Linked DNA regions of Oryzias latipes. The protein of the gene in region 1 purifies or fractionates together with the protein of each later gene. This does not show direct contact. Links are inferred from orthologs where the notes say so. Each region holds a gene or a part of one and is shown on either strand. Other genes may lie near its edges. The genes, in order: clstn1 and apba2.

What was found.
Region 2: the proteins of clstn1 (region 1) and apba2 purify together in Homo sapiens (affinity purification with western blotting; 3 studies listed by BioGRID and IntAct, with this or other methods). This does not show direct contact. The link is inferred for Oryzias latipes from reciprocal best matches to the Homo sapiens genes CLSTN1 and APBA2.

Annotation. Positions count from the first base shown.
Region 1 is NC_019865.2:9,963,593-9,968,179, reverse strand, and holds the start of clstn1 (calsyntenin-1), read left to right. Parts: upstream 1-1,666; 5' UTR 1,667-1,846; coding exon 1,847-1,928; intron 1,929-4,587. UniProt on the Homo sapiens protein: Postsynaptic adhesion molecule that binds to presynaptic neurexins to mediate both excitatory and inhibitory synapse formation.
Region 2 is NC_019861.2:18,690,063-18,693,882, forward strand, and holds part of apba2 (amyloid-beta A4 precursor protein-binding family A member 2), read right to left. Parts: intron 1,847-3,820; coding exon 1,634-1,846; intron 1,521-1,633; coding exon 1,401-1,520; intron 1,252-1,400; coding exon 1,111-1,251; intron 1-1,110. UniProt on the Homo sapiens protein: Putative function in synaptic vesicle exocytosis by binding to STXBP1, an essential component of the synaptic vesicle exocytotic machinery. May modulate processing of the amyloid-beta precursor protein (APP) and hence formation of APP-beta.

The DNA.
Region 1 (4,587 bases):
CATTTTCTCATGAAACAATTTGCCCATAACTAACAGATAAAATAAATCTTGCAAAGAGATGTCTTGATACATGTTCCTTTTTTCACATGATTGGTTTAATTGAGCATTGTATCTCTTGTTGAGCTTTCATTTTCCTTACAGCATCAATAGACATTTGCTCCCAGCCCCTCCAGCCTTCTGTGTTAAAGAGGCTGCATGCTCCCACAATAACAGTACTGACGTCACTAGTATCATGCTGCCTTCATGTCTTCCTCTTAAGCTCTGGCCACTTGTGCATCAGGCCTGATATCACAAAAACTGAAATAAATAAATGGTATAGCATTTTTTTTATTGTCCCAATTTATCTTTCACTGCAATAAAAAAAACACACTTATTTTTATACTCTGAGTTCAAAGTTGACAGATTTTGCCCTGTAAAAATGGTTTTGCAATAGCAAACCTAAGATGATACTGTGAGTTCAAGATATGTGTATTCATAGATTAAAATGCATACTTGTGAATGAGAGGGATGTGCATATAAATAGATATATAGCGTACCCCTAGATATCCATGTAAATCTTTTCTGAAAAGATTTGCACAGGAATATGAATGTAAATTCTGTCCTTGGCAACACCCTGACATTTCATTATTTATGATGTGTCATGAAATGTGCATTAAGAACCCTTTACATAAATTCACATGTAACAGAACATTTTACTGGAATAAGAAAAAAGTGGAATAGATTGTGGACCTGTTGGTGAACAAGGGAAGGCTGTTTTTGTAGAGCTATTCTATAAATTGTGACATCAAACACAACAGTTGGACTCTGTCCTTCTATCAAACTGGACAGATGTTAATTTTCTCAGCTGTCTCACTGACACCTGAAGGCTTCCCAGACATGAGGAGTAACAGGAAGTTTTTTTCCTGACCTATATTTACTTTATTTTACTAAATCTGACTTTAGTTTACTGTCACCCTTTTAAGCTACTTCCATTTGTGTAAAACTGCCATAGAAGTCTTAATTAGGAAAATTAGGATTATTTTTCTGTTTTACATGTTATTGTTGTTAATATGTTATCATTGTTTATTTTTAGATTTGATCAGATTCGACTTTATTTAACTTTTTTTAACACAAATAAATAATAATTGAATACGTATTTTGATATGAGGTGGATATGAGTACAATGTAGAGGGTAGTACTACAGTTATTTGCAGATTTGATGATGTACAAGAATATATTGGTATTATTTATGTGTTTTTATATTTTGCATCTGTTCATGGTCATGGTCACATCTTATGTGTTTGGGACCCCAGTCTTGTATTTTTCCATTTTTTGTAGTTTTCAGCTCGTGTGCTAATAAATCTTGGAAAAATCCAAGATTTTCTGCTCTCCATAGGGTTAGTTAACTGCAGCATTGTTGTCATACCCCAGTTTTTAATTGGAGTGGAAATTCAGGTTTGGTTGCCAAAGACTCAAGGTAGCTTTTTTAATCGCAATAAACAACCATATTATAATAAATTTGAAAGATATCATAATAAGCTTGTTCTATTGTGACATAATGACTGGTGTTGTCTGTTTTAAGCACTCGTAATCGACTCTTAAATGCGTAGCTACTGGTCTTCTTCATTGCGCTAAAACGTGTCGGGCCGATTTCCAACGGTCCGTGAACGTCACAGGCTGCAAAACTGCGAGAGAAGCAGTGATTGAAGCAGAGCCGAGCGGCGGTGGTGAAGACGGCCATCTTAGAGCTGCCGCGGTCACCGACATCTACCTTTTTTGGGGGAGGATTTCTACTTTTCCTGTCAGAGAAGCTATACGCGGGGAGAAGGCTGCGTTTGACTTCGCTGAGGTTTAACTCGAGGTCGGGATGCGGTTCCTGGGGAATAAACAGCTAGCATCCGCTGTCGGACTGGTCCTCGGACTATTATGTGCGGTGAAGGCAGCTAAAGGTAACTAAGCCGGGATTTGGAACCCGTCGTGTCTTGTGTGACAACCTCATTTCTGATTTTAAAAGGCTGGAAAGTGAAGGTAGCGACCCCCACCCAGAACCCCCCGGGTTTGTCCAGACCCCGAAGGCTGACAGAAAAATATTAGCACCCGCGCGCGCCGCGCCGCGAGGGATGCTTGTTCAACCTGTTCAGGGATGGTCCTCCCCGTCAGTCAGTCAGTGCGGAGCAGCGGCAGACAGCGAGTCCTTACCAAGCCCGGCATCATAAAAACGTCTCCCAGCCACATTTCTCATTCACGTGTCACGTTTGGCACAAAATGTTAACGTGTTTTCAAAGGGGGTTAAACCAAGGGTACAAAACGACCCCCTAGTCTGTCATCTGCGTCTATTTGGGTCTATTCTGGTCGCTTCTTCACATTACACCCCCCCTTTTTTTTTTAAATAAAGAATTGAGCCTCGCCCTCCGCAGTTTGTGAATAGATTTCATCTGCCCTTGTTTTGTGCTATTTTATGTAATCGGAATGAACGCAGATGTTTTATTTTTGCTTTTTTTTTAACCCTTCACTGTTTTCCTATTCAGGTCGTAAATCTACATATATCTGTCATTTAACAGCCTAATCCTTGTGTTTGGAAACCCTGTGGACACTCAGGGGGATGAAGCGCATTGCAGATCCTCTTCACATGGTTATTTTCATCAATATTTATCTGCTTATGTGTTCAGATAAAATATAAAAATAAAAATCTGGACCTGAGCCTATTTATGGCCATGCAGTTAAAAATAGCTTGTCTGTCTACCTGTTTTTAGTTTTGCAAATGGACATCTCTTATTTATTTACTGCAGAGCTGTCCTCCCATAGGTTCTTGCTCAGTCATAACCCCCCACCCACCCCCACCCCCACCCCCACTGCACACGTTTATAGACACTTTTTACCCCCAAATCCATCCAGAGCCCAGGAGAGGCATCTGCTTCATACAGGGCGAGTCTATTACCCTTGTATGCCACAAGCCAGTGGGTTACATTCACTTTGTTGTTGCTTGTTTACAGATGTTACACCCTTTTTAATGTCCCGTGAGCAAAGTGCACAGCCAAACGTGGCCATAAAAGTCTGCACAAGGGCGAAAGTGGAGCCGCCGCCGTTTTACCTGCTCTTATCAGGAATTATGTGACGTCAACTCCAGTTTTCATAACCGAAGCTTTCCTGCTTGTTTCCTTCCTTATTCTACCAAATCTTGTTTTTAATTTCCAGCCGTCCGTCTGGCAGCAGATGAGGAGAGAGAACACTCAGTTCTTCTCTCGGCTCTTGTTCTGGAGTTTCGATGTTTTGAAAATAATTCGGTGCCATTGCTGCAGGTTAAGATAAAGAGTCGAGCTTTTTTATCGTGTCCTTGAAGCCTTCAGTAGTGTATTTGTGCTTCAAATACTTTTAAGGAGAACTTGGAACATCACTTGTTCTGTTTATTTTTTATTTTTTAACATTTATTTCCACAGTCTCATGAATGTAAATAAGTTTTCCGGTTATCTGGAGCAGCTGCTGGGTGCACCCATGTTTGTGCGTAAAGTTTAACGTCTGGTGAAATGCACAAGCTTCTTGTGTGCACGCCGTCAGACAAAGGACGCACCAGCGGCTGGGAAGTTTCTCGGCTCATTCATCATTGAATTAAGTTGATTCTAGTCAAACAAATTGGGTGCCCTGCTTTTGTGTGGGGCTGAATTAACATATGCACTCTTCCAAGACTGCTGGGGAAGACTGTGGGTCACACCCAGCAGTTTTCTCACAGTTCAGCTTATGAGAATGGCAGGAAAGATGAGGACGTCAGGTCTAGTTGATGCATTTTGTTGTCTTAGCTGATGCAAGAAAATACACTTTAATTCAAACAGAAACTGTGTTTTGCTTTGGCTTGAAAATCTATGTTGTTCTATTACAATCAAGTCGTTTTGCTTTAGTGTCCTTTAATGTCAAGTAGAAAGTCTGTTTTAAAGCTCAAACATTTATCAAGAAAAATAAACTGTAATTTGAAATGATCATGTGAAAGAAAAAAAATCCATCAGTGACCTTGAGAGCCCTTGACTGGACTACAGATGGCTCACATTTGCTGTGTGGAGCAGAATTCATCATCAGACTCTTTTAGCCTTCGAACTTGCCCCGAACTGTGTAGACCTCTTTTGACCTGATGGCAAGTCAGGAACTGAAGCTGCTCTTGAGTGACAGTGAGGCGTTATTTGCCTCTTCCAAGCAGGGTGAATGATATTTCTTGTGTTTCAACTCTTCGGCGTAAGTTTACATCAAGATTTGATGATCTTTGCAGTTCCTTCTTGCCTTCATCGGGTCAGGTTTAAAGACCCTCTCTGAGGAATTTTGTGTTTTTAATGTGTTCTTGTAGCATTTTTCTCATGTTAGAGGACATATATAAGAAAGTGAAGTTTGAAATTGCATTTCTGAGTGTTTCTTTATCCAAATTGAGGTGAATCAGGAGTAGATGAAAAAAATGGTTTTGGAAAAAAGAGCTTATTTGTGACATAGGAAATATGGCAGGTGGAGCACAAGGTTTCTGTTCTTATCCATTCCAGTGCATCCACTTGTACATGTCTATGTTTTCCTTTTCGGAGCTTACATCTGGCTCAAAATCGTACGGTTGGATAGCTCCAATATTGCTCGCCA
Region 2 (3,820 bases), on another chromosome or scaffold:
AGTGTTTACAAGTAACCCCGTACTGCACTTTTCAGTCCTTATAGAACATTTGCATTCAATTTTTCCAAACATAAAAAAAACTGCAAATTGATCTTAATCTTAATCCTCTTTCTACGCATGCAGGATTTTCTTCTTTTGCTCCAGGGCAGGAGTGAGTTTACCTCCTTCCAGTCCAGCCAGCATACCTGCTACTGTTTAATCGTTAGGCTGCATGATAAATCGACACCAACCAGCTGTGGAAGCAGTGACTCCATCTGCTGGGTTCTGGATGTTTACACTAATGTGCAGATCAGAACAATCAGTCTCTAGGTTTTTTTTTTCTTTGGATAAATAGTGGATGATGAAAACATTCAAGTATTTTTACTGAAAAATGTCCCAGAAGAATTATTTTTTTTTTCTTTTTTTTTTACTTTTTATTAGAGAAAATACAAGTAGGTATGCCAAATGTATGGATTATTCTGTCAGTGATTTGTTAAACCAATTCATTGGTTGATTTGAAATTAAAGTTACAATACCATTCTATGAATCTTTAATTAGATTTATTTTCCTAGCACCGTTTTTTAAAGGGTCATTACAGTCATATCAGCTGCTTAACAGGGGTTAGCATACCTCCTGCTTTTGTGTGGATACCAACACTTAGGCTACGTCTGAATGCCCTCACTACTCCCTAACCACTAAAACACTATATAGTGCCCTGGATTTGAACGTAACTTGAACACATGCTCACAACTTCTTTTATTTCTTAAATTGCAAATACGACATCACCCATTTGCCAAAGTAAAAACCTAATAAACATGAATATTTTACAAGGACTATTAATGATAAATTCTAATGATCAAAACTTTACAAAAATAATGGATATAAAAAAATTGTAAAAAATATTTTTTTAAATGAAAAATCACTCAAACACAATGCACTGTGGTCCATATTTGCCAGTTTAGTGAGCATCAATACACACTGTTTTTTTGCAGAAACTTTGGAGAAATTTCCAGGGCACAGGATTTTGGAATTATGAATTTGGATAGCTTTACAACATGAAAGTAATGAGGAAATTCCAACACAACCAATTTCCAATGGAAGAGGATTTTGGTTTGTGAGGATCGCTCTAACCTCGCCAACGGAGTTTGAGAGGGCCTGAACAATCTTCTCGTGTGCTGTGGCCACCACGCTCTGGCCGTTGATCTCGATAATCCTGTGACCCACGCGGACCCCCCCTCGCTCTGCAATGCCTCCACGCATCAAACTGCATATCTGCTCAAGAAATTTAAAGAAAATGTTCTTGTGTCATTCTGTAGGAACTGAATCCACTTGAATACCAGTCAGTGGGGTAAAAACACTCCTGGTGTTAATGACAGAAAGTCTGGCTCAATGCAGATTTTTAAAAGGTGAAATATCCTCACAATGCCATTCTGGACGCTGAAACCCAGCTGATATTTCAGATCCGGTCTCTTGATAAGGACGGTGGTCACAGGGGGACAGCTGACAATGTTCATTTTTACCTGCACCTGGTTCTTTAAGCCCTTTAAAGAGACACACATCATCAACCTATGTCAGGAATTCACCGGAAAATGTTGCTGAAGACAATCTTCAAAGCCCTCTGCAGGCACACTGCACATCCTCTCTCTCTCTGCACCTTAATGATTCCCTGACAGGTGGCGAGTGGCAGCCCCACGAGGCTGGTGTTGTTGATGGACATGATCTGGTCTCCGATGCTGAGCTTGCCAGAGCGAGCAGCCGGCGCTCCGTTCATCATGTTGGCCAAGATGACCGTGGGCAGAATGGAGCCCCAGCCGGACTCCACGATCACCACCCCCAGGATCTCGCCTTTGCTCTTCTCTAGCTGCAACTGGGGACAAACAGCTGGATGCTTACTTTTATTTTGAAGATAGAGTCCCCTGCTACAGCTCAGACCAGAAATATTACTTAAACCTGTAGGACAACAATGTGCAACTCACATTTTTATAACATATAAACTCTAAATTTAAAAATGATTGTTCCTGCAGCTTATTTCCAAAATCGGAGCAGGAATCTATGACATAACTGCAGGGCAGAGCTGGAATCACGAGGCTTAACAATCTATCATTGGTCAGAGATTTAGAAATGCAGAGCATACAGGGAAGGATTAATGTCTGAGGGTGTATAAAACTGCAAATCAATCAGCTGCAGTATCTGTGAATCGCTGGATTTATAGAAATGTTACATTAATGAACAAAGGCAAATTCATCTTCTAAACTTGCTGAAGTTGTTTCTGTTACTCTGAAAGTAACCATCACTGGATTTATCTATGAATGCAAAACATGCATTCAAACAACAATTTACAATTGACAAAAAGTAAAATTACAAACTTGTACAAGAATATAGTGACATGAGCACATTTGAAAACCATTTTACTCAAGGTGTTTAATAAGTAATAATAACTTGTAGAATCAACAATTTAAAGTCATAAAAATTTAAATATAAACATGCAAAGAGAATTTGCTATTCAATTGGAAAAAAAGCTTTTAGTGACTCACCTTCTCCTACATGGATGTTAAAAATGTACATCCATTTTTAAGCTGTATGCCTGAAGTAAGGTGAAAATAAAACACAGACCTTCCAGGATATAGGATGTTGTAGCCACATCTGCAACTAGATTCACCGTATTTTAAGCTTGCAGCTCCAGGGAGAAAAATAGACATGTCTCTAATAACATTAAGCATAATCACAATTGATTTTCTAGCTTTATTTCTGATTCATTTAAGGTTTAACACTAGTAACACACCACCATTTCTTTTAAAAAGTGCTGAAAAAAGGCCACAAATTGAAATAATCCCAAATGATATTCTCCTGTCCAGTGTAAATTATTATAATTTAGAATTTTTTAGCTTGTGCAGTAACTAGTTGAAATGAATTAAATTAGAAGAAATAACATTACTGAAGATTTTTGTTGTGGATAGTTCCTTTTATGGAGCTTTGATTTGTGCTTCCTGTGAGGGTTTTGTCACATCATCCTTGCCCTAATTGTGGTTGCACTTGTTGTGGCGGTGTCTCATTTAGTGGCTTTTTTGTTTCCCTTTAATTTAAACTTTGCTTTGAAGTGGCCAATTCAGGCAGTGTCCCACAGCCACTACGCACTTCTACGCATATTGCACGGATGCATAATTGCTCATATGTAAATATATGTGGAAAAATGAGAAAAGTTGTGGTTTTTAAGTAAGCTATTCGCAGATGTATCATGAATGAACCACGTTAAAATCACAGACATAACCCACGCAAAGAACACGTAACCCAACGTAAAAGCCAAATATGGCCCAAAATTCATGCCTCAATTAGGTAATTTTAACATATTTGCGTCGTATACAGCATTTAAAAGTTATACATCTGTGGTATGTATGTGTAGTAAGATGGTTAGACATACGCGGAAAGCCACAAATTTTCGAATGCATCTTGCAAAAATCACGCACAATTGCGTAAGAGTTACATAAAAATTGCGTATAAATTATACAAAATATGCATAAGCTGCTTAATTAGACCAAAATCTTTTTATAAAATCAAAACCGACGGCCAAGAAGGAAAGCTATAATAGAAAGGAAATGTCACTTCAATAGGAAGTCTCATTATTAAAAGAGCTGAAAATAAAATAAATTTGCATTGATTGAAAATACAAAGGCTGAGACCCTGCAGAATACTGATTGTGAAATGGTTGTAAACATTATTTTTTTTTGGTTAAAACTAAATTATAATTTTACATAGCTTATTGTGACAGTCTCCTTTTTTACAGATTTAATTGTATTTTTGTGTTGAATTTCTTTCCAACTCCATCTCGCTCCTATTTGTATTT